4 linked regions of the Caenorhabditis elegans genome follow. The protein of the gene in region 1 purifies or fractionates together with the protein of each later gene. This does not show direct contact. Each region holds a gene or a part of one and is shown in the gene's direction. Other genes may lie near its edges.

Evidence for each region.
Region 2: the proteins of ZK673.6 (region 1) and fbxc-51 fractionate together in Caenorhabditis elegans (co-fractionation; one large-scale study listed by BioGRID). This does not show direct contact.
Region 3: the proteins of ZK673.6 (region 1) and maph-9 fractionate together in Caenorhabditis elegans (co-fractionation; one large-scale study listed by BioGRID). This does not show direct contact.
Region 4: the proteins of ZK673.6 (region 1) and F48F5.6 fractionate together in Caenorhabditis elegans (co-fractionation; one large-scale study listed by BioGRID). This does not show direct contact.

The regions. Positions count from the first base shown.
Region 1 is NC_003280.10:10,460,928-10,466,227, reverse strand, and holds ZK673.6 (uncharacterized protein), read left to right. Parts: upstream 1-1,897; 5' UTR 1,898-1,908; coding exon 1,909-1,982; intron 1,983-2,027; coding exon 2,028-2,184; intron 2,185-2,245; coding exon 2,246-2,414; intron 2,415-2,461; coding exon 2,462-2,670; intron 2,671-2,991; coding exon 2,992-3,063; intron 3,064-3,111; coding exon 3,112-3,285; 3' UTR 3,286-3,361; downstream 3,362-5,300. Other genes in the region: sdz-37 (SKN-1 Dependent Zygotic transcript), read right to left, coding at 930-1,358; ZK673.5 (uncharacterized protein), read right to left, coding at 4,281-4,721; ZK673.11 (Protein aurora borealis), read right to left, coding at 3,560-3,701, 3,825-3,891, 3,939-4,039, 5,205-5,300.
Region 2 is NC_003280.10:866,213-872,702, forward strand, and holds fbxc-51 (F-box C protein), read left to right. Parts: upstream 1-2,601; 5' UTR 2,602-2,618; coding exon 2,619-2,686; intron 2,687-3,039; coding exon 3,040-3,425; intron 3,426-3,593; coding exon 3,594-4,491; intron 4,492-5,212; coding exon 5,213-5,387; 3' UTR 5,388-5,487; downstream 5,488-6,490. Other genes in the region: Y46B2A.3 (Fibrinogen C-terminal domain-containing protein), read right to left, coding at 1-201, 248-430, 476-689.
Region 3 is NC_003282.8:7,153,437-7,160,656, forward strand, and holds maph-9 (Protein maph-9), read left to right. Parts: upstream 1-3,191; 5' UTR 3,192-3,327; intron 3,328-3,463; 5' UTR 3,464-3,467; coding exon 3,468-3,668; intron 3,669-4,134; coding exon 4,135-4,253; intron 4,254-4,302; coding exon 4,303-4,395; intron 4,396-4,443; coding exon 4,444-4,791; intron 4,792-4,851; coding exon 4,852-4,975; intron 4,976-5,026; coding exon 5,027-5,185; intron 5,186-5,229; coding exon 5,230-5,375; intron 5,376-6,010; coding exon 6,011-6,268; intron 6,269-6,582; coding exon 6,583-6,673; 3' UTR 6,674-6,720; downstream 6,721-7,220. Other genes in the region: C34D4.3 (MSP domain-containing protein), read left to right, coding at 231-338, 379-471, 519-671; C34D4.2 (Serine/threonine-protein phosphatase), read left to right, coding at 1,288-1,341, 1,414-1,563, 1,610-1,998, 2,047-2,362, 2,414-2,494; rpc-1 (DNA-directed RNA polymerase subunit), read right to left, coding at 6,849-6,992, 7,110-7,220.
Region 4 is NC_003283.11:20,447,109-20,452,717, reverse strand, and holds F48F5.6 (uncharacterized protein), read left to right. Parts: upstream 1-2,758; 5' UTR 2,759-2,771; coding exon 2,772-2,968; intron 2,969-4,221; coding exon 4,222-4,336; 3' UTR 4,337-4,443; downstream 4,444-5,609.

The DNA.
Region 1 (5,300 bases):
TCTCTGCCATACTTGAAAAACCGCTTAGGACCTTCACCAACCGCGTCCTGCAAAGGTGCAACGTTAAATTCACCTCTTACGAAAACAGACTGTGCATCATGGAACTATTCTCCACCAGACACACTAGAATTAAAGCTCAAATGAAACTATTATATAGACTTCTTACCGGTTCTACTCATTTCTCTAAATTAACTCAGTTTGTCAAGTTCTCTAATTCCAATAGGAGACCCATGATTCTGGTTAGGAAAGACACATGCACCTCTCATTTCTTTGCCAAATCCATTCCTATTTGGAACAATCTTGTCAAAAATATACCGGTATTTCTCTCCCCCTATCAGTTTTCAAGTTTTCTCGATCTCAATATTCCCCGGTATTAACTTTTATCCGCTGGTTCTCTTTGACTTCTAACTGATCTCTTCTACCACATTACCCTCTCTCTCCTTTCCCGTCCCAAACTCGAGACGTACTCTTTCTGGGTTAGTCTCGTTTTACCGTTTTATTTAACACTCAAAATTCAATTGTACAGTTGTAAATTGCATTAGTTATGTTAAATAAATCAATCAATCATCTGAAAATTTTGAAAAAAACGAATGTGCTACAAAATACTAGCTTAAAGTAATTGGAGTAATTGGAATTTTCGATGGTGGAACTAGCAAAAAAATTTTATTCAGAAATGTATTGTATTCAATTAGTATTGAAAGCGTGGTCGTTTGAAGTGAAAAACAACTTTTAATTAGTCTGATTAATTTATTAAAACAATTGAGTAAAAGTACAGTTGTTAAAAATTGAGAAAACCAATACAGAAAAAATACCGGACAGAAATTTTGTAATCATTTCCAAGAAAAAGTACAATTATAAAAACCGAACCTGGATATCAGAAAAACCGACTAAACTGTTTGAGGAAAAATAAATAAAAATAATTAATAATATTAAACTGAAACACGGGATTTCTTCTTGATTTCCTTGACAAGTTCTGGATTGTAGAATGGATTGGCAACGAGTTTCACTGGAGATTGAGCCTTGGCAACATATTCTGGATCAAAAAATGGATTTGGGATGAGATGGGCTGGAGCAGGAGAAGTTGAAGCTGATTGTCCAGTTGAAGTGGCTCCACTGCAGAATCCGGAGTCCATTCCAGTGTCACTGAAGCAGGCATCATCGGAGAATTGTTCCTGATTGGCCAAGTTCTCGTAGTAACGGTACTCTTCTTGCCTCTCCATCATGAAAACAGCCATTTTTCGAGCATGCTCATCAAGGCAAGATTTCTGATGAGTGTTGAGACGCTTGTTTCGAGGGAAGAATTGAAAGATGGAAGCATTGTTGTAGAATGCGAAGGATGGAATTTGAGAGTACTCCATTTTGACAGTGAGAATTGAGAGAAAGGGTAGACGGTAAGAAAGAGCTGGGTAGCTAACAACTGGAAGATTTCCAGAATGAATGATACTATTTCTTTCCGGTTGTCCTTATATATACGGTCCGGTAGACCACGCCCCATTTGGTTATTATCCAGCGGGGCCGACCTTCTTCCCACTATGAGACACAAGGAATTATAGGTGGGGGATGCCTTGCACCTTTTACGATGGTATTTTTCCAGACGGGGTGACGATAACATTGGCAAACAAGGTTATTAGAAATGAACACAATTTCCGGCATATCTGGGAAAATAGCTAATTTATGGGGTCAACAACAGTAAAACTGAGCAAAGATGTTGCTTTTGGAGAATAGGATCATTGGACCAGCGAATTCGGAAATATTTTTCGCCAATTGGCATTAATGCTAGAAAAATTAGTTACAAAAAACAAATAAAATAGATTATTAATTTTTATTCGTGAAAACTTATTTTTTCGAAGACAAACGTGGAAATACTCAATCTCGTATTCCAAATCAATACTCAATCAGTTTTCAAAAATGTCAAATTTGCCGACCAGCACTCCTGTGAGCCCATCTAATCTTGCTGAAGAGAACCCAAAGTCTAATAATCCGTAAGTTCATAAGAATTTTATTCTTCGCAATCTGAGATATTATAGAGAAAGCTCAGAGATAGAGGACGCGAACTTCGTCGGTAAAATTCTTAACAAGGATCAATTTAACCTGAACGAACAGTTCTCCAGTGATATTGAGTGGATTATCAAGTACCTTGATGTCATGCAAGGCGTCACCGTCGGGCTTGAGAAAATGTGCATTGTAAGATTTTGAATAGCGGAGCCAACTCAAATAGTACACGTGTTAATGCATGAATTTTCAGTCGGGAACAAGTTATCACTTCTCTGATAAAACGGAGGTTCCCAACAGCGGTTGGAGATACATGCCGGCATACTTGAAGAAGGTCGAGTTCATCAAGAAGAACGAGGCGGAAGCCAATATGATTGCGGAATTGTGTGAAAAAATGGGCCACAAGGAGGAGCAACATTTCTGTAGGAAAACAAAATTATTTCTCCTATTCTATTGAAACTTTTTACAGATGATATCAAAAATGTGGACCATGACTCAAACATCTACACAACGACAGTATTTTATTGTGATAAGATCAAGAAGATGTACAGTGATGTGGAGAAAACTGTGAAGACGTGCAATCGTAGAAGAAAGAAAGTGGAAAAGACACAGATTCTTCCAGACCTTCGAGATCAATGCACAAAATACCATAAGGCAGTGCATACATTAGATGAACAGGTGAATTTAGAAGGGAGTTTTGTTATTTTTTTGGCAAAGCTTGACGACTTGGTCTATCGCAATTTGAAATCTGGAAATCGCAACAATACGTGCTGTTTTGTAATTTAGTGTCACGACATATTTTCTGAAATTGAAAAAAAAATCACGTACTGCAACGGGATCCAAGTGTCAAACAAAACCCGTGGGCAAGTTAACTTCCACAACTACTTTTGTAAAATTGTTGCAACTTTAAAAGCTTTTCATGGGCATGTAGAAAGAATCCCCAAGATATTGTTGGAAAATTTAGAAAGGAAAATTTTTGTATAAGTGCAATTTTTACAGTGCCGTGAATTGGACAATCTGAAGGAGTACGTCCGAGCTGGTCGACATTTTCATAATCGCCACTTCAAACAGGTTCGTTTTATTTTTGAGCCTTTACTGAAAATTATTTCTAATTTTCAGGGTCTTGTGGTTATTAGCGCCCTGACAGCCGTTAGAAGTGGCGTTATAAAGGAATGGATGACGCGAGACAGCAAGAGACAGCAAAAAAAGGGCAAGACGACGACTGTTGCCAGAAGCACTAACAAGAAGAACAAGAGCATGATGGGAACAGTGAAAGATTTGAAGAAAAAATGAAGTTTGAATGTGTACAAAAGATATTATCATAATTGAAATTCTAATATAAGGCTTTGAAATAAATATATTGGAATTTCATATTTTGTTTCTTTTTAATTCAAAAGCATAACAGTTGAACAATAATTATAAAGCAATGATTTGATATTTATCCACACCAGTACGAGTGATTTTGAATAAAGAATGGAACCACACAATAACACTTCTCGTATATATTTGATAAATCAATATTATTAGTTCCCGTTTCAAAGCAGAATTATAATAATACAAAACACATTTATTGTAGTCTCATCATATCAAATTGTTGTGAGATACTCCGTGGAAAAAATTGAGAAGGACTATGGGTCATACTGTTGATCAGTGGATCATGGGCTCCCGCACAACTTTGCTCATCGCCGTTTTCGGACTCTTCTTCGATTCTGAATATACATTCTGATTTGATTTAAAAGTAAGCAAGCATCTTCCGATGAGAAATAAAAATTTTTCTGATAACTTTCAGTTTTATATTAAAAAACTAAGAATCAATACAAAACTCAATTTACCTGTGAAGCTGAAATTTCGATGCCACATCAGATTCCCCGCATATACTCGCTTCGAAGATTTGAGAATCTTAAAGTTTTGTTTAATTTTGTTGAGGGGGACTGTGTAATACTCACTAGCTGCTGAAGATATCACATCAAAATTGTTCAAATAGAAGCTATCACTGATGGAGTTTGATGAAGAATGCTCAGAATTTGGATCAGAGACTCGGGAGAATCTGAAATTGATTGTTAACTTTGAATTTATCTTAAACGCTATGAAAGCTAGGTATGTTGGAAAAACTCATTTAAAAAATATTACTTTATTGATATTAGAAAAATCCAAGAAAAAAAGAACAAAAAAGAAGTAGAAATAGGAAAACCGGAAAAAAATTTCAAGGGGTACACGAAAATTGGAACCAGTACGAAAGCCAAAACGATACAAAGGTACAAAAAAAATAAACAGAAAATTAATTTTAACTAGGCAGAAACAGGAGCAGACTTCTCGTTTCTCTTCTGGGACTTCTTCTTGATTTCCTCGACAAGCTCTGGATTGAAGAATGGGTTGGTGACGAGCTTCACTGGAGACTGAGTTTTGGCAGCAACATATTCTGGATCAAAGAATGGGTTTGGAATGAGCTGAACTGGAGCAGGAGATGTTGAAGCTGATTGTCCAGTTGAAGTGGCTCCACTGCAGAATCCTGATTCCATTCCATTGTCATCGGAGAACTGTTCCTGATTGGCCAAGTTCTCGTAGTAGCGGTATTCTTCTTGTCTCTCCATCATGAAAGCAGCCATTTTCCGAGCATGCTCATCAAGGCGAGACTTTTGATGAGAATTGAGACGCTTGTTCCGAGGGAAGAATTGGAAAATATCAGCATTGTTGTAAAGAGCTGCGGATGGAATGTAAGAGTACTCCATTTTGAAAGCAAGAATTGAAAGTAGGGGAAAGAAAGAGTTAGGTAGCTAACAACTGGAAGATTTCCAGAATGAATGATTCTTATTCTTCCGGTTGTTCATATATATACGGTCCGGTAGACCACGCCCCATTTGGTTATTAACCAGCGTTCGACCTTCTTCCCACTATGAGATACAAGTAGATATAGGTGGGGGATACCTTGCACCTTTTACAATGCGAAACTGGTACATGGTCTTTTGTTCCAGAGGAGGGTTGGTATTATCGACAAGGTTGTTAAGGAAAGAGATGACGATTGAATTGACAACTGGGAAGTGAGTTCATCAAGTAATTTGAAAAATATATTAATTAAAATATTTTGAGAACCGTACTTTAATTTTAATACGGAGTCCAATTTTTTTGTATATGAGAGATATAATTTATGAGTTATTTGAGAAGCAACTTTTGAAACAAAAATATAGCATGCAAGAATTAATTTAAAAACTCACTCATAAATAGAAACTTGATCTTCATTGTGATCATCTTCTCGGTCCAATATATCATCTCTATCATTCAAAATGGCTTCGGGAATATCTATCTTCGTA
Region 2 (6,490 bases), 9.6 Mb from region 1:
GTCGCTGGGTGAATCCTCGGGTAGTTTCATGGGCTTTGATATTTCTATTGGTGTTGGTTGTGCCACGGGTGGACACTTTCCAAGGAGAGCAACAGACCATGTTAACATTGTTTGGCTTATCTGATTGAGACTCAATTCCACACACCACGTGACCCGCTTCACAGAATTGAGCTCTTGTCCACAAGCCACGATCTGCGTTTCCTTAAAACACAATTTTAAATATCACAAGCAACATTTCTGTTAAAACCTGTCAGATTGAATCTCTTGCTTCTCGGTTCAGAACCATCTCCACAGAAAACAGCAATATTGTTAGCTCCGGCAGTGTTGTTCGGCTCAATTTGAAGGGAATATCCAATCACTCTTAGTTTATTGGGACAACGTTGAGAGCTGCTCCATTGGCGTTCTCCTGGAGAGTTCGAAGCTCTTCTGCCTGAAAATTCAATTACATGCTCCAAAACAGTAAATAAATGCTTACTACGATCGCACACAATGGCGATCCCTGTTGGAACGTCGCTCGTATTGACGTTGTACTTGATTTGAATCCCAAAAACTTTTTCAGAAGGGCACAATGAGACGGGTTGCCAGGGACCATCGGAAACCAAACGCTTCAAAGGGTAATACCCTGTTTGATAGGCATGTGCGACAACAAAGACGGTGACCAACACAAGGAGGGACTTGTAGCCGTTCATAATGTTGAGTAATAGATCAAATATTCGAATATTTCTCTCTTTTATACTGTTAAAACGTGGAAACGTGTTCTTTTAAATTTTTAATTAATTTTTTTTTGAATTTCCGTACTAGTTCCATGTCTCAATGACCGATAGACGCATTTTCCACGCTGTTGACTAGCGCGTCAAGCGCGCTAGGCTTCGCAGTAGTTTAAGTTGGAAAACTCGGGAAAATTTTGATCATTTTGAATGAAAACTGATTGAGCCATGGTCATTTGAGATAATATTATTTCTGGGTCTTTTCTATCCGTGTATTCGGGCCTGCGGCCCTCAACCTGGATTATTGGGCTCAGAGTAGGCTTAAAGATTGTCCAATACTTCTATGTGTATTTGGGCCTGCAGCCCTCAATCCGAATTAACTGATCTTTTCAAATACAGACGTAGTCTCATAAAAGTCCTCCAGCCTGCTCTGCTGGAAGTAGGGATAGAAAAAGCCTAAAGTTTCTAAGAGTAAGCAGGCAGCCCTTATCCCTGATTTTTGGATTTGAGTGAAATGAAATAGCATTTGGCCTGTCCTGCTGAGGTTAAAAGTGGCCATAATGTTCAAAAAGTGCGGTCCTCAATATGATTGGAGCTATTGAAACAAATTGCTCAAAAAAAAACGCCAATCCTAAGCTAAGATATAAGTTCTCAAAGTGCAGTCACATTTCTCGGGACACCTCATGTCGAAAACGTGCCCTTATTTTTTATTTCTGTCAAGTGTGCAATTTACGGATTTAATATAGGAACACTTGAAAGCCCGGAAATGTCGGCTGCGGTTCTTGGTTGATTTTTTGTTAATACAAGCTTGAAAAATCTTGTGAGATGTCTTCTACTGTTTCGACATTTTGAAAGGAACCGGGAAAGTGTCGGCTGCAAACAAAGTTGATATTAAAGTCAGCATCCGACATCTCAATGGATGTGGCCAATTTTGAAATGGAAGCCTGTGCTAATGCACCATGATAAACCCGAATAAAAGGGCACTGAAGATCAATTTTCATTCTTTTTTTCGCATTTTTGGCGACCCAATATCTACCAATTTTCCAGCGTAAAGTTAATTTTCTGCCTGTTTTTTTTTTGCAAACACGGCAAATGTTGTAAACAACATATTAGTATCAAGGTCAGATTTGGTCCAAACCAGCATGATTCTTGCCCCCCTCTACCCTAAAATAGTTTGTCAAATAGAAGCCTCAATTGATTTTTCACATGAAAATTTTTCAAATACCAACTTAAAAATATCATAACTCAGCTGAAAGTTGAGCTAGCAAAAAGTTTTCCACCAACAAAATGTTTGAAAATTAATTTGAAATATTTTTGTAGTTGACAACTTTTCAATAGCTCAATTTTCAGCGGAGTTATGAGCTTTTGAACTAATTTTTCACAAAAAAAATCTATAGAATCTCTTTTATTCTAATTCTCCATTCACATCAAGTAGTCCGGGTACGTGTAGGCTCTCTATAGAGGACCGATGCTCAAGGTCAACAGAGATAAACATTCCCGCCCCGTCTGCGACAGATGGACAGAGGTCACCTAGTTATTTAGGGTAGTCTAATGGTCCCTATTGCCTCTCCAACGGGGGTATGTAATAGGGGGAAGACGGACAATTATTGGGTATTTTCCACAAGTTTTGAACTATTTTTTGGCTGTTTTGTCCGATTTCTGACAATTTTTGGACTATTTCTAGCTATTTTTCGACTATTTTTTTATATTTTCGTTGAAATTTTGCTATTTTTGGCTACACTCTGGCAATATTTTACTACTTTCGAATGCAGCTTTACTACTTTTTGGAAATTTGTTTACTAGATCATAGTCATTTTTTGTCAGTTTTTCACAATTTTCTCGTTTCTTTCAACGTTTTTCTCACTTTTCGCACCAATTTCCCACTTTTTTACAGGTAATAAATACCTACATATGAGCTTAACACCACTCCCATATGAGTGCCAGAAATGTGTACTACAGTTCTTTGAAGCTAATAGGAGGTATGCTTTTATTTTTTTTTGGAATTCTGATTGTAGAGCTGAAAAAAGTTTTTGAAAAGCTATTAAAGTTTAAAAAGAGTTTGGAATATATTTTAGTAGGTTACTTTTTCAGAGCAAAAGTTGATAAATTTACAGTCGATGCATCATGTTTTCCTCAACTTTAACAGCTCAAAATTCAATTTTCTTTGTGTAAAAATTTATTAAAACGGGCTTCGGTAGAAGTATAATAACTTAAGCAATTTTCTGTCGATGAACCATGTTTTGCTCAAATTTTGAGCCGTTCCTAGAAGTGGGGCAGCTACCAATATTATTTTTACTTTTAAACACCTATCAACCTACTTAAAATATTCCAGATTTAAATTAGTGGAACGATGTGACTCCCTAAAAGCAGCCGACAAAGCTGCTCCCCTCCACATCTACAAGCTCTACATGAATCCCCGTGTCATCCGAATCAACCGACATAGGTACACGTTAGGACTGCTCCGCCACCTACCGAAAGACCATGTCTACTATAGTCCATATATCAACAATGTGAACTTAGATGGAGGTGCTGCCTATGATATGGATCAGTATGGGCTTAAGGATCCCCGCTGCAATGAGGTTTTGAGCCCTGGAGATTTGAAAGTTGAAAGCAAGGAAAAAATTAATAATATGGAGGATATGACAATGGAGATGTTGCAATTTGCAATGCGGGATTTTATAAGACCACAGGGGCGGATGCAGGTGCAGCAGAGGGAAGGTAGGTGATAAGGAGTCCAGTGATATGTCGGCTGCTGTTTAAGAAAATTTAGAGCACTATCTCAGTTGACAAATTTGTGATAGCTTGATTTCTAGCTGAAATATGATAGCTTAAAGTGTTTCGGCGGCCAATTTTTGTTTCGGAAAATCTCAAAAATATATTTTTCAGACCCTGAAAGCTCTTCCGAAGATGATGAGGATGAAGCAGAAGATCTTCCAGCAGAAGGATCAGATGATGAAGACGATGACCCCCAGGAAGCTCAGATCCGGCGTATCCTCGGCGACGCTTACCTCCCAAGAGCACGCTATTCATCTTCAGAATCCGAAGCATCTGAATCCGAAGACGAGCCAGACATAGATCCAGCAGTCACCGACCAACTCGAAGCATACACGAATCCATACAGCTGGCGAGAGGAAAATGAACCAGCTCCATACAGATTTGGCATCAGATTCCAAAGGATGAACTTAGACTTCAGGCGGGACAGGGAGACTTTCCATGGGATCATTGAGTATCTGGATTATAACAAGAAAATGTATGATGCGATGAAGTATATCACAGAGAAGTTGTTCGGAAAAAGAGCTCACCCAATTGTGATAAAGACCCTGGAGCTTGGTGATGCAGGTGGGGTCTACCGACTCCCCGAGAATTTTAAAGTGAAAGTTTCCAATATGAGATTTGGTACGGAGTTCGGACTGCTTTGGGATGGTCTGAACAGTATTTTCCACGAGAGCACTCTGCCTTTCAAGAGCTTGCATATGCCTCTAGAGCACGACCACCCAGTTATCCATGCCACCCAGCGTCTGGTTATCGGAACTGAGAAAATGTTTGGGGAGAACTTTGCCTGGATCCCTTTCCTACTGAAGCTTCCACAGAAGAATGTCTACATGCTTCATAGTCCACTGTTCCATCATGACTATGTGCAGCTGATTGATAATTGGATCGAGACACCGAAGAGTATTGGGACCTGCTTTACGTTTGGTGTTAAGCAGTATCACGCCACCCAATCCACATTGAACTTGCTCGGGGATCATCCGATGGTTGTGAGCAAGAGGATGGAGGGAGTAGAGTAAGTTCGCAAAATTCAGGATGCATCGATGCACCAGCTGGAAATTTGGAGCTCCGATGCACCATGTTTTTAGGGAAAAGTCGACAAAAAATCTTCATTTAGTTTTTATTTGAACATTGCACTGATATGTAATACATCGAAATTTGAGTTTGAGGCTCTTTAAATAGATACAAACTACCTCACTTGTGCTTTTTCGAACTTTTCAAAAGCCCGTGAAGTGTCGGCCGCTGTAACTTTTCTCCTGGTAGAGCTAGTGGAAAGTTGTCAACTACAAGATTGTAGATGCTATTATTTGCAACGGTTTTGCAGTTGAGCAATTTTATGAAAGTAGTTGGGTTTTTGAGTTATGCTCTTTCGAAATTAGTTGTTTTTTTTTTGCAAAATTATCCAAAAACTAAAACTCAAATTTCTAACAACTTTTACAAAAACTTTCGTGTTGCAAATGCGTTGCAAAAATTCTGACTTACAATTTCAAATTTTTCTGTGGCAGAACCTGTTCTGCGGCGCGCAGGTTCGATTTTATGCAAAAATTTTTTTTTGAAGTTTAGCATTACACCTCAACTATGGAGGCTTATATCTTGATGGAAAATTGTTTACTGGCAAAATAATAAATATTACTTTCACTATAATTTTTTATTAAATATTCTAAAATTATCTAATGTACATACTAGTTTATAAACTTCCAAAGTTGGACTCTTCCCAAATTTTCCTTTTTTTCCAGCTGCACCGAATTCCCTCACTGCTTCAACATCCCGCTGACCTATGAATCCGAGCTTAATGTCTACGGTAAGAAGAGAACTGAAAACTTGGACCCTTTGGAGTTTATGCCACATGTCAGTTGGTGCCTGGTCTTCGAAGTGATGCCAATTGGAAGCGCTTTACCATTGGAGGACTGATTTTTCAATTTGCTAATTTTTTTTTTCAATTATGTCTTGTTGTCGTGTTTTTGATAATCTGAAATTTGTTGCGTGGATTTTAATAAAATGTTTTTTTGGTACTAAAAATGTTCCTAAATTTTTCTATATTTTGCTAGTTACCGGCTCAACGAAGGTGGTATATTTTAAAATCTGAATATCTGTAAATCTACAAAAGTTAGCAAAAGATTGTCAATTAACAAAATAATCTACGCAAATTGTTCTATAAGTTGTTAATTTACAAATTTTTTGTAGCTCAACTTTGAGCATAGTTATGATAGCTCTAAGTAGGGACAGGTTACCTGATTTTTATCAATTTTAAAACTTAAATATCTCCAAAAGCATCAAAGCTAATAAAAAATGTTGGGTATCTACGTGTACCTTACCCTTAACGTGGATATGAAGATCGTGTAACGTGAACTCATTATCTATGTATACTAACTTTCTATTTATTCCTTAGTTATGTAATAATAAACTACTCGTCTTCGCCTCCTTGTTCGGCCTCGAATATATAACATTGGCGATCAGGATCTTTCGGGCTCACTGCACCACTGACTTCATGCACATGTCTACTTAGAAGAAAAGACCTCTGAGGTATTGTTTTGATCTACACATGTCTACTGGGAAGAAAAGACCTCTGAGGTGGATCAGGTCAGCTTTGGGAAGAGGCACCTGCCGTGCTCTCTGCAGTTGCAGTCAAGGTGGACAGGAGCGGCTTCTGGTTTGAAGTCGAAAAGAAGAAGGAATCATTGCTCAACTCTTTTGAAGATGCGAGTGAAGGCCACCTATGCGTTTCAAATGCTCAGTCATTGGACGATTGCACAAATTGTTATTGGTCATAACATGATCCACAACCAGGAACTGGGATACAACAGGTTGATGGTGGAACAGGCGGAATCAGTGTGGATGATTCAAGGTTGGGTCTAATATTCAGGCAGCAACGTTTTTTTAGTCTGTTGGTGAAGGGTGGATAGACATCAAAAATATTTCGATTGGTACGGGAAGTGTGGCTAACTTGGAACCCGCAATTGGAGGATGTGAACACCGAAGTACCGTGTGCAAAGGATTGGCAATATCGACGGTCA
Region 3 (7,220 bases), on another chromosome or scaffold:
TCCGCCGAACCGAGCACAAGCTGATCTTCAAAATTTGAGAAGTAAACAGTATTTAAAGTTGCTTTAAAATTTTTGGATTTACGCAGAAATTTAAAAGAAATTTGTTTTAAATTTTCAATTTCGCAAGTGCAAACCTCACGTTTATAAAAAATCCCCCCCCCCCCCTCCCTCTCTGTCGGAAAAAATAAAATTAATCGAAATTTGAATCAGTTCGAGAAAATTACATCGAAATGGGAGTCGAGTTATCGTTGGATCCGCCAGTCTGCCCAATCCAAGCCAATGGTGGTGTTTCTACGCACAAGATCATTAATCACTGCGACAAAATGTTGGCCTATAAGGTATGGAATCCACATTTTATTAAGTCAATTGAATTTTCAGATAAAATCTTCCAATAACTCCAACTACAGTGTCAACACTATCTTTGGACTTATTCAGATTGGGTATACCGCTGATCTGATCATCACTAGAAAGGTATGTAGTAGTTGTCGCCTGGCCTAAAAATTAAACATTTTTTTCAGCCAGGAAAGCCGCAGGCCGACAAGCTTGTTATCCAATTCGCTGCCGTTGAGCAGACTTGCCGTGATGGCTGTATTTGCCAAGGCTGTATTTGCCAATGGACTGCCAACTGGAGAGTGCTGTGGAGAGACGATCATCAAGCTGTCAGCTGCTGAATAGAAGAATTATCACAATAAGATTTGTGATTATGAAAACTTCTCTGAAAATTATGTATTGTGTGTATAAATAAAGTTGAAAGGGGAATGATTTTTTGAAAGTTTGTAGTTTTTATTTGAGAACCGGGAAAATTACAAAAACGACCACCCGCAATGTTTATATTTCGACCATTTTTTGAAAACCGGGAAAGTGTAACCCAAATTTGGTATATACTGTGCCAATATTCTATTCGCTCTCGCTTTTACGGAAAAATATTTTCAACTAACAAAATTTTGCCGTTTTTAAATCTAATTAGTCAGTATTTTTACTTGCCAGACGTTTTTTGGCTAATTTTATAGCAGGAGAGAAAGTAATTATATTTGCATAAGTGTTTTTAAAAAATTGCAAAAATTGAAATTTAGACATTAAATAATATTTTTTAGCAATGGAATGGTCATATTATAATAACATTTTAAACATAAAAACAATGTTGAGTAAAAGATTTAGTTATAAATTACGTGAACTTCATGTTTGCCTTCGAAATCTAACCAAAATCTAACCGTATGACATTCCACGCGTCCAATGACATTTATCAAGATTGATCGGAATATAAATTCAGTTTGAATCTTTTTAACGATGGCAACTCCCGATACTTCGGCTGCGAAAATGGCGGGACAGGATCGTCAAAAGGTACGTGATTTGACTTTTTCTAAAATGAGTTTTCGAACTTTCTTTGACTTTCAAAATAATTGTTATTTTCAGTTAAAAGTTGTTGCATGGTTGCAAAATCTTGTTGAGCGACTGAAAGGATGGACTCCAGGACATTGCCAGAAGCTATTCGATGAGAAGGAGCTCATCCAGCTTTGTTATCGTGCTCGTGAAGTCTTCTGGAAGAACAATGTGAAGTTAGAGGTGTGTACAGACTGCAAAATTCTTTTAAAAAATTAATTTTCTTTAGCTGAAGGCTCCTGTCAAGATATGCGGAGATCTTCATGGGCAGTACGAGGATTTATTGGCCCTGTTGGAATTGAATGGATGGCCTCCAGAGACCAAGTATCTCTTTCTGGGAGACTACGTTGATCGAGGACCGTTTTCGATCGAGGTCATCTCATTGCTCTTCGCCTATCAAGTCCTCCACCCGGACAAAGTTTTCTTGCTCCGAGGAAATCATGAGAGTCGCCCGGTTAACATGCAATACGGATTCTTTATGGAATGCCGTAAAAGATTTTCAAATGCTCTCTACGATGCGTTCCAACTGGCATTCTACTGCATGCCACTTTGTGCAGTAGTCAGCGACAAGATCATCTGTATGCATGGCGGAATTTCCGAGGATTTGGTGGATTTGAGGTTTGAAATTTCGGCAATCAAGGTTTATGCTCATTATTTTGGTTACAGACAACTTGACAAAGTCGAACGTCCCTGCGATGTTCCCGATATTGGCGTCATTGCTGACCTGACATGGGCTGATCCGGATGCCACCATTCAAATGTACGCCGAGTCGCAACGTGGAGCCGGTCGTGTCTTTGGAGCAGAAGCAGTCAAGAAATTCCTGAACACCCATCATCTCGAACTTGTCGTTCGTGCCCATCAAGTCGTCATGGATGGCTACGAATTTTTTGCTGATCGGCAACTCGTCACCATCTTCTCGGCGCCATCATACTGTGGACAAATGGACAACGCTGCGGCAGTTATGACTGTGGATGAAGAATTGGTTAGTTACTTTAACGAACTTTAAAAAATTGTTTACAACTATTCATTACAGGTGTGTTCCTTCACTGTGATGCGTCCGGACTTGAAGAAAGACAAAGAAAAGAAGGCAGCTGTAGGAATTGTCCCCAACTAACAGGCGTGCCCACCATTCAAGGATCAATTTTGAATTAGAACTACTTGATTTTGTATTTACCAATAAATTTTTTGGTGTTTTTTTTGCCCATTCACTGTTTATAGAATAAATTCCTACAGTTAAAATAAAATAATCGCATTTTTCAACCATTTACATTCTCAGATATCATCCAGTGATCTAAGGAAATGAAACAAAATATCATATTTTATATATCATCATCATGATCAAAGTATCATAGTTTCCTCACGATATGAGGAATAACATCTGTGATTTCACTCTGCGGATAGTGTGCTTTTTATCCGGTTTTCATTTAGAAATTATATTTCTTTTATTGTTGTTTTTCAGAAATTTATTTAATATTTCCTATTCTTATTTTATTTGTGCTTCTCACACTTTTTCCCCTTTCGGCCCTATCCGTTTATTTATGCTTGAGAGTTGCGCATTTTCCGATATCAGTAGTTTCTCTAATTATTTGATACGTATACTTTTACATATGCTTCACCTGTTCCCTTGGTAATAACCTTCTTTTCCTCTCATTCTCTCTATCCCTTTACTTCTATTTCGGAAACAGCCAATTAGTGCATATCGAGATATTAAATAAAACGTAGAGACCGCAGAGATATTGTCATATGGTATCCAATGGCAACCGAAAGCATTTACTAGTGCGAAATGTCTCTTTGAGGAATAAGATAGAAATGGAGGATTATAAGAGGTTTAGAGAAAGAAGACAAAAACGAAGGTCTTCTTGTTTAGTTGCTGGGAAGAGCGACTAATAAGATATTCAAGATTTTCAGACAATATCAGGAGGTTGCACACAAACAAAAAGACGTCCCGTGGGTTTTGTTTTTCAGAAATTGTAATCTTCTTCTATTCCATCTCGACCTATCTTCTTCTACTTCTTCTAGTTTTCTTTTTCTCTGTTTTTTTCCGAATGTAATACATATGTGCATAGATTCCAACATGTTCCAGTGAAATGGGCGAATATCAATTACACCAATCTCGTAATTTGAGTGTCAATCAGACCCTTGATGAGATTCTGGGAATCAGTAGAAAATCAGAAACAACCACAACATCAAGTGGCTCAAGTGGAGCTGAAAAGAATGCATTGAACTCTCCGATCCGGCCACCAACAAGACATGGTAGAGAATCATCGGGAAGCAATGAAGAAAATAAAGTATGTTTGACATTAAAATTATTTTAAAAAAAATTTCACTATTCGGAAAAACTAAATCCTTTTTTCTACGTGCTTGAAATAGGCGGTAGGCATATAGGTAGGCAGGGATTAGGCAGGCAAGTGTCTACTATGTAAGCCCTAGAAAAACCAAAATCATACTATCAAGGTGATAAATGTGTGCTCACAAAACGTGTCTGAAATGGCAGTTCAAAGTGCAATATTTTGCACTTTCAAAGTAAGGTCACAAAAATGATTGTCTACATCCGTTTTTGCCATAAAAAGTGGATTCGTCTTATGATTTTGCCAATACCTGTTACAAAGAATTCCAATAACTTAAAAAATTGTTAGTTCTAGTGTAGAAAACCTAGCTAACGAAAAAAGAAAAATCTCTAGGAATTTCAAAAAATTTCAGTCCAATGCCAGATTTCAGTAACAATTAAACTGTGATAATTGGAATAATTTTCAGGATCCGATTCAACTGGAGAATGGAAATGGATCAACATTGAGCTTTCTAACATCTTCTTCATCTGCTACGTCATCAACTGCTGCTAGACGAAATTCAGATGATGATTTTATAAAGAAATTGTGAGCTATTCTCACCTTTAAGTATTTTTCAGCAATCATAATTTTTCAGAAATGATATCAGGCGTCGCTCATTGATTTCTACAATGGATGCAACATCTACACCAACTACATCTGTTCCAATTCATTTTGATTCTCCGAGACGGTAAGTTCTTAGAAACATTGAATATTTTTAATTTGGAGTTTACTTCAGAGAGTCTCGTCCTTGTCTCGAAATTCACGTAGAAGAATCGCCAGAAGAACTTTCAACGCATGCTGTAGAGATCACCGAGTTTCATAGAGACTTGTCGGAAAATTCATTGGGTACAAGTACAGATCATGAAGATCCGAGTCTAACCTTCAGAGTGGATAAAGAATTGGAACAATCTGAATCTAAGAAGACAACTAAAAGGCCTGCAAGTGGAGTTAAGAAAACACTGAAAGCTTCGATTTCTATTGATGCTCCGAAACCAAAACCTCGACCTCGCCCTCAGACCTCAGCAAATTTGTCTACAAAAACAATCAAAGACAAAGATCAAGAGATGATGCAAATGTCTATGTTGTAAGCTATTTTCTTAAATTTTAATTACATGAGGGGAAGCTGCCAATTTTGATTTTCCAGCGGGTCCAAGTTAAATAAACCTTCTGATGCTCATCACAAGGAATGGCTTCAGAAGAAGGAAAGAGAAATTCGGGAGAAAAAGGCAAAAGAGAAAGCTGCAGCAGAGCAGAAAGCTGCAACGGAGGTACCGTAGTTTTAATATTTTTAAACGGAATTGTAACCAACTTTGTTTCAGAAAGAACGTCGTGAAAACTCTGCAAAGTTGTATCAAAGATGGGTTCAGGATCATGATAAAAAAGCGAAGGAATTAAAATCGAAGAAAACTCAACAAGAAAGGAAAAAATCTGAAAATGAGAAAACAACGCAAGATCAGAAACTGAAAGAAGCTGAAAAGGTACTCAACATTTTAAATAAATCTAATAAATAATTGAAATTTAGAATTATGAAATGTGGAAGCGGGAACGTTCGAAATCTGTAACAGATATCAGAAAGAAACTGGAGCAAGAAGAAGACAAGAAAAGAAAGAAAGAGGAAGAAGCTAAAAATGAAAAGATCAAAGAAGCACAGGCAGCTTTTCTAGCATGGTTAGTTTTACGGATTGATAAACTACAAGTGACTTTTCGTTTGTGCTCCGAAGAATATGATATGGTTTTTTACAATATTAATTCTACAATTAGTGATTGTTCGCTGAAATCTCAAAGAAGGCTCCACCGATATCTTGGATTTTTTGGAGTTTTTTCTCGCATATAATCTGCATATTCTGAACAATTTTTGTGATATCCTTCTATATTCTTTGTGGATCATATTATGCACAGATGAAAAATTTATCGATTTTTGCTCCAAAAGTACGGTACCAGGTCTCTAAACGATTTGTTCTCTTGAATTAAACAGAGCGTGTGTAATTTAGGAGTACTGTAGTTTTATTCTCCCGTTTCTTCAGTATTTTATGTATTTTAATATATTTACCATTTTTCAAAGAGTTTTGAAGAAACCGAAGAACAAGTATAAAAAAATCACTGTAAATTTCTCAACAACGAGAAGTTGTCAACTACAGTACTTTTTAAAGGCGCACACTCTTTTGCATTTGAGAAAAGCAGTCGTTTCAAGACCAGGTATTGTTTCTTGGGGCAAAAATCGCAAATTTTCGAATATGAGTAATAATACAAAGCCACGAGAAGCCAAGCTTTGTTAAAAATTTGAAACCGAAATATTTTTCCAGGAAACGGAAAAAGGAAGAACTATTGAATGAAGAAGCTGAAAAGTTGAAAAAGGAACAAGTTCAAAAACAATTGGAAGAATCTGAAAAAATGACAAGATTGTCGTTGGCTAATGAAGCATACGAAACATGGATTGAATTGAAAGAATCGGAACGAGAGTTTATTGCCGATTTTGTGCTTATTGAAGCTCCGCCGATTCCATGGCTTCCACCGAGTAATTTGATTCCAAGGCAATTCGTGAGATCGTCGAATGGAAATCGGTTAGTTTTGTTATTAATGCCTCTTTTGAAATCAAATTGCAAACGCGCTTCACGGCTAATTGAAAGCTCCGCTTTTGGATAATGGGTCTCGTTAGGTATTTGGCGGCAAACCCAAAAATTCAAACGTTTTTGATTAATTTCGCCTAAATATTTGTCGTCTTTTTTTGTAATGTTTTCCGTTGTTAATGATTTATAAGTCGAAACGTTCGTAGGTAGAGCTTATTCAATTAGCCGTGGAGTTCGTTTCCTGTCAATTTCAAAAGCTGATTTTTCTGCCTACATACAAGTTTAAAATCATTAACCTTATGTTTCAGTCTTCGCGCACGGTCTCAATCTGCTAAATCCATTGCAAAACGATCGAGAAGTCGTCCTGGCACTACAACTTCTTTGCGCCCATTTCGTTAAACTGTGATAACGAATTCTATGAAATCAATAAACTTATGTTCTTTCAACAACAACAAAAATAATAACAAAAAAGCGAACGGGTTGAAACAAAAAAGTTAAATATAAAGAAAGGTATCTAAATAACAAAAATGAGTAAAAGTCTGGGTGGTAAAGAAAAAGTATTAAATCGAACAAATTAAAGAGTGACGTTCAGACGTTCGAAAATCGGCGAATTCTGTTTAAGAACGGCTTTCTTGTCGTATTTCTGCATCAATTTGAATGTACCGGTTCCGACAGTCATTGGGGTTCCCATAATAATACACTCCGAAACTCCATGAATCTAAAAAAAGTTCAATAAATTTTCTACAATTAAAACAAATTAAAAAAAATCGAAAATATTTGGGTTTTTATTTTTTCGATTTATAAACTTTAATAGGAAACTATAAAATTTACTTACCACGTCACGTTGAGAGAAAAATGCAGCTTCAAACAAGTGATCCATCGTTTTTTCGAAGGAAGCAAGTAAAAGTACGGAATCTTTCATTTTAACGAGACCATTACGAGTGAT
Region 4 (5,609 bases), on another chromosome or scaffold:
TACGACCTGATATTTTAATTTTTCTTTTTATTTTGTAATTCAATTTTTTCTTGTTCAATAAACTTTTAATCTGAAAACTTATTCAAGAATTCAACTTCGGTGAAGTCTGAGCATTTTTCAAATTTTTGCCCGAATGGCGCAATGGGTTTTTCCAGAACTACCAATCAGAATACCGGGGTTCGAGCCCGCGCTGTGGGGAATATTTTTTCTCGGCAGGGCTAAGGCAATTTCAGTGTGTTGTGTTCGAATTATAAAGTTAGAAAACATGTGTAAACTAGTTTTTCGCTATTTTTTGGAATTTTGACGCATTTTCGGAAAATTTTGGGTAAATGGCTCAGTGGGATTTTTCAGAACTTCCAATCACAAGGCCGCGGTTCGAGTCCGCACTGTGGTCGAAACTTTTTTTTCATTGTTTTGAAATGGTTAGTAAAGTAATTGCGAGATGCTGAGTTTAAATTCTAAAATTTTTTGAGCTTACAAGCAATTAAAAATCGTTTTTCATCACTTTTGAAAATCTTTATTCGAATGGCTCAGTGGGATTTTCCAAAACTTCCTATCACAAGACCGGGGTTCGAGTTTGCATCAAAACTTTTTATTTTCCCATAGTTTTCCACGTCTTTTGCAATGTGTAAAACCACTAAAAAAGTGATTAAAAATTCGAGGTGGGTGCCGACATCTCTCCTGATTTTCTCTCGATTTTCTCACCGAGCCGGAGCCAACTGTTGCCCAGTTTTTGATCTCTCAATCTGTCACACTATCTGCCGTGTGATACCTTTACTACAGAGATAGAGAAATAGGAAAAGTTGTGGGAAGAGGCTCGGAGCACAAGAAGAACCCGAGAATGTTTGCTCTTTTTGTGCTGATCATTTTTACCTCTTACCGCCGGCATACACACACACGCAGAGAGACGGCAAAAAGGTTTGCGGTAATCTGAGAATTTCAAAATGTTCTTCCCCATTCTTTTCTTCCACTGTTTTTTTTTCTAAATTTTAAGAGGTCAAGATCGAACTTTAAAGTCATTTTTGAACTTTGAAACTTGAAATTTTGAATTTAGACCCATCAATTACCCTATGCCCTATGAACGTAGCTTAAAAACCAAGAAAAAACTTTGACCACAGTGCGGACTTGAACCCCGGTCTTTTGATTGGTGGTTGTGGAAAATCCTACTGAGCCATTCGGGCAAAATTTTGAAAAATGCTGAATTTGTGTAATTTTGGGCCTTTGATTCTATTGGAAAAAACATTTCAAAAAAAGGAAATTTCAGCCTTTCAATCTCAATAACTTTTAGCTTTGAGTCGAAATTCAATATACTCATGCTAAATCAGGGGTGCGAATTCGGCAAACCGGCAATTTTCCGGTTTGCCGATTTGTCGGAAGTTTTCAATTCCGGCAAATTGCCAATTTGTCGTTTGCCGGATATCAGATTTGCGGGGAATGTTTAGAGGATTTTTTTTTCAAAAGACGAAAACACTTAAACCTGTGCCCTTTTTAATTTTTTCCCGATTATAATTAAAAATCTGAAATTCCCAAAAAAAATGTGCAAAACCACAATTTGCAGAAAATTTCCGGCATTCCCCGTTTTTCTGGCAAATTCGACAAATCGGCAATTCCAGCAGTTTGCCGATTTGCCGGAATCGTTTGCCGCCCACCCTTGCCCTAAATTACCCCTGCCCGCAGTATTTCAAGATTACTATGGAAAATGTGGTCAAATCTATTTTCTTGGGTTACTGTAGCTTGGTGTTTGCGTACCCAACACCGATTTTGACAGAATTTTGCACTAACGTTTGAAAATTGGGCCATCCGACTAATTTGACGATACAATTCAAATTTTTGAAATTTGAAGTATTTTCATCAAGTTTTGAGCTCTTTGAGCTTGTCAGATTTTCCAAATTACTTATTTTTATTGAAAAATATTGATTTTTTCCGATTTTATTTTTCTTTCAAGTGCGTTCCAAGTAAAATCCGGTACATTTTTAGTTGAACCTCATGGGAATTGCTTCTTGCAAACAACTTTGAATGACATTTTTGACTTGCACTCTTTTTTTGGTGAAATTTTTGGATGGGGAAGAAGAAAACGAAAAAAGAGCGAAGAACAAACTCATTTTTGGTGAAATATCTTATTAGGTTAAACTGGAGGAACTTTTCTTCGTTTTTTTGTGAAATTTTTTTTGAAATTTGGGGTTTTTCCGCTGTTTCAATTTTTCCCAGAGTTTTGAAATTTGAGTTTCAATTTTTTTTTGCATGCTCAAAATCTTTTTGGTAAAAATTTCATTTTAAAAAAATTGCAAAAAAACCTACAATTTCGAATTTTAACAAGATTCAGACTTAAGCTATTATCTATGTCTGAAATCCCAATTTCTAACAATTTTTGAGCTTTAAACCTTTAAAATTCAGATTCAGCACTTTTTATTACCTAACAAGCAACGAAAAAAAAATCGACCACCGTGTGGACTCGAACCCCGGTCTTCTGCTTTGTAGTTCTGGAAAATCCCACTGAGCCATTTGAGCGAAATTTCGAAAATGCCGGAAATTGTCACAGACATTATTCTTGGAATTTTTCGTGATTTTGTATGCTTTAACTTTTTTTGTAACTAATATTGAACGCTTTAATTTTAGTCTTTTTTTTTGTTGATAAAAATTGAAAAAAAATCGAAATTTTCACAATTTTTTTTGTATTTCTTTAAACTTACTATTAAATCCCAATTATTCTACTTTTTAAAATTTTCTTCACAAATTCGCCCACAAAACCTTTTTATAGTCCAGCACAAGCAATGTACCCAGAATATGGGCTGGACGTGGACGAATTCAACCTTGTGCTCATTATTTTCTCGGCCACAGTCGTATTTTTCGCCTTAATCGCCTTAATTTTGATGTACTGCACAATGAGTTGTGGTTGCTGCAGACGAAAGGAAAAACGAAGAAAATTGAGCAATATTCCACAGGTTATGGTTACTCAGCATAGAGACAAGTGAGTTTTTATTGCTAAAATTAGACCGAAAATTGAAAATTTATTTTGTGCAAAATCTCGTCAAATCTGATGTATGGCACTCAAATATCAAGCTACAGTAATCCAGAATACTAGATTTCACGAAATTAAAAAAAAGACCAAAACCTTAAAATTGGGGAATAGGGGTAATTTAGAGTGAGGATTTTGAATTTCGCCTCAATTTTAAAAATGATTAAGAGTGAAAAGCTGAAATTTCAATTTTCAGAAATATTTTACCCATAGAATTAAATATATTAATACCTAATATGACCGCAAATCGGCAAACCGGAAAATTGCCGGTTTGCCGAATTTGCACCCCTGATTTAGAATGAGTATATTGAATTTCAACTCAAAGTTAAAAGTTATTGAGATTGAAAGACTGAAAATTCCTTTTTTGGAAATATTTTTCCCATAGCATTAAAGACCCAAAATTACACAAATTCAGAATTTTTCAAAATTTCGCCCAAATGTCTCAGTAGGATTTTCCATTACCACCAATCAGAAGACCGGGGTTCGAGTCCGCACTGTGGTCATACTTTTTTTTTGGTGTTTAAGCTATGTTTATAGGGCAATCTATGGGCGCTGAATTCAAAATTTTCAGTTTTAAAAATATATTCAAAACTTTTGAGAGTTGAAAAGTATGACAACTTCAAAATATTTGGATTCTGATTTGAAATTTTGATTCCACGTGACAAACTGCACCTATTCCCAAAATTTCTGAATTTTAGTGCAAACCCACTTGAAATTTGGTGTCTGGTAGGGAAATACCAAACTACAGTAACCCGGACACAAAACTACAGTAGAGTATTTTTGAATTGAAATTTATAATTTTTTACTTCTGAAAACTATAAAAAATTCGAATACTCAAAATTTTAGTAGAAATTCGAACTCCGCGTGGCAAAATACATATAACTCTTAAGTTCCAAAAACTTTGTTCAAAACTCTAGGAAATCAAGTACAGTAGTAACCCGGGACACCTGATTTTACGACATTTTGCACTGAAAATTTTGAAAATTATAGTTAGGGGGGATTGTAGAAACTATGTAGCAACCTAGGATCCAAAATCACATTGATTTTTTTGTCAAAATTTATTATTTCAAACAAACTTTTTTTGAAATTTTATGGACAATATCGTTTGATGCCGAGTGTGGTCTAGGGATAATTTTAACGTAAATTCCGATTTCCAGCTCTAAATTTCAAATTTCAAACTTCCAGAATCCATTTTTTGTTTCCAGAACACCCCTATCAATTGACTGCCCAGATTTGGATTACATCGACGCTCGCAACACAAATCTTGTTTCATCAACAGTTCAAGTGGAGTCAGTTCATCAAACCCCAACTCTTTCATAATTTTTGATTTTTTTACTTTTTCCAATGCTTTTATGTGTTCAAAAAATATCATATTTGCTACATGTTTCTAGAAAAAAAATTTTGGATATAAATTTGCTTATTTTGCTAAAATCTCAGAGAATTCCAAAAAATTCAGCCATTTCCAATCAATTTCAAAAAAGTTCAGAAAGCATTTCAGAGCCATTTGAGAAAATTTCAAAAACGCAATTTCCAATTCATTTCAAAAAATTTCAGGGAATATTTGAAAATTATTCGATGATATTACAAAAATCTCAAAAGCATTGCGGTATGTTTTATAGAATCAAAAAACCTTTCAGGAAATTGTCAATGATTAGAGAAATGTTAATACTAATTTAGAGAAACTTGATGAAAGTTTAAGCAGGCCCAGGAATTTTCAATAATAATAGTCAAGTCAAGAAAAGGTGTAAAATTTCAGAAAATTTGAAAATATTTGTAGAATTCTTAACAAAATTTTTTCTAATTTTTGGGAAGAGTTCTGAATTTTTTAAAGGAATTTTTAATGGTGGAGTAGCGTCTGTGGGTTTTTTTGCCCTAAATGACAGAATACAGTCCCAATATACCGAATTTAAAAACATTTTAATTTTCTAAACTTTTTATGATTTTTTCAAAAAAAATCCCGCGCAAATCTGTGACGTCATTTTTGAAATTTTTGCGTTTAAAGGCCAAACTAATTGGTTTTTCTATATTTTTTTTCAAAAAATGAATCAAGATAGAATGAATGACAGAAATTGTTTAGGTGCTCGGATGGGTCACTCTCGCAGAAGAGGTAGGCGGAAAGGAGACAGTTATATGGTGTGCGTCTTTCCACACGTTCACCTCCTTGGCGTCACTCTCTTTGTAAACGCCGTCTTCTTATCGAGGACCATAATTTTTACAGCATCGCTATATTCACCTCTTCCTCTTGTGCAAGTCGTGTTGTGCTTGCCAGTTGGCATCCCCAGTTCATCTCCAGATGTTATCGCGTATGGTCAAAGAAATGGTATGTATTAAATATGTACCAAGTTTGCTTATGTAGCAACTATCTACCATCATTATGGCTTGAATTTCGTCATCTCCAATCTTTATGGCATTGTACATAGACTAAAACATTTTTCCAAATATTTCATAGTGTGTTCATCTGGTAAATTTCCTAGCCGGATGGGTGAGCCTTTGGGTTGAGGTGGAATTGAACTTGCGATTTTTTGGATGACAGTGCTACTACCACTCAGCCACCCGTGCCCGTGTAATAATTCTTACTTTTTTTCAGGCTCAA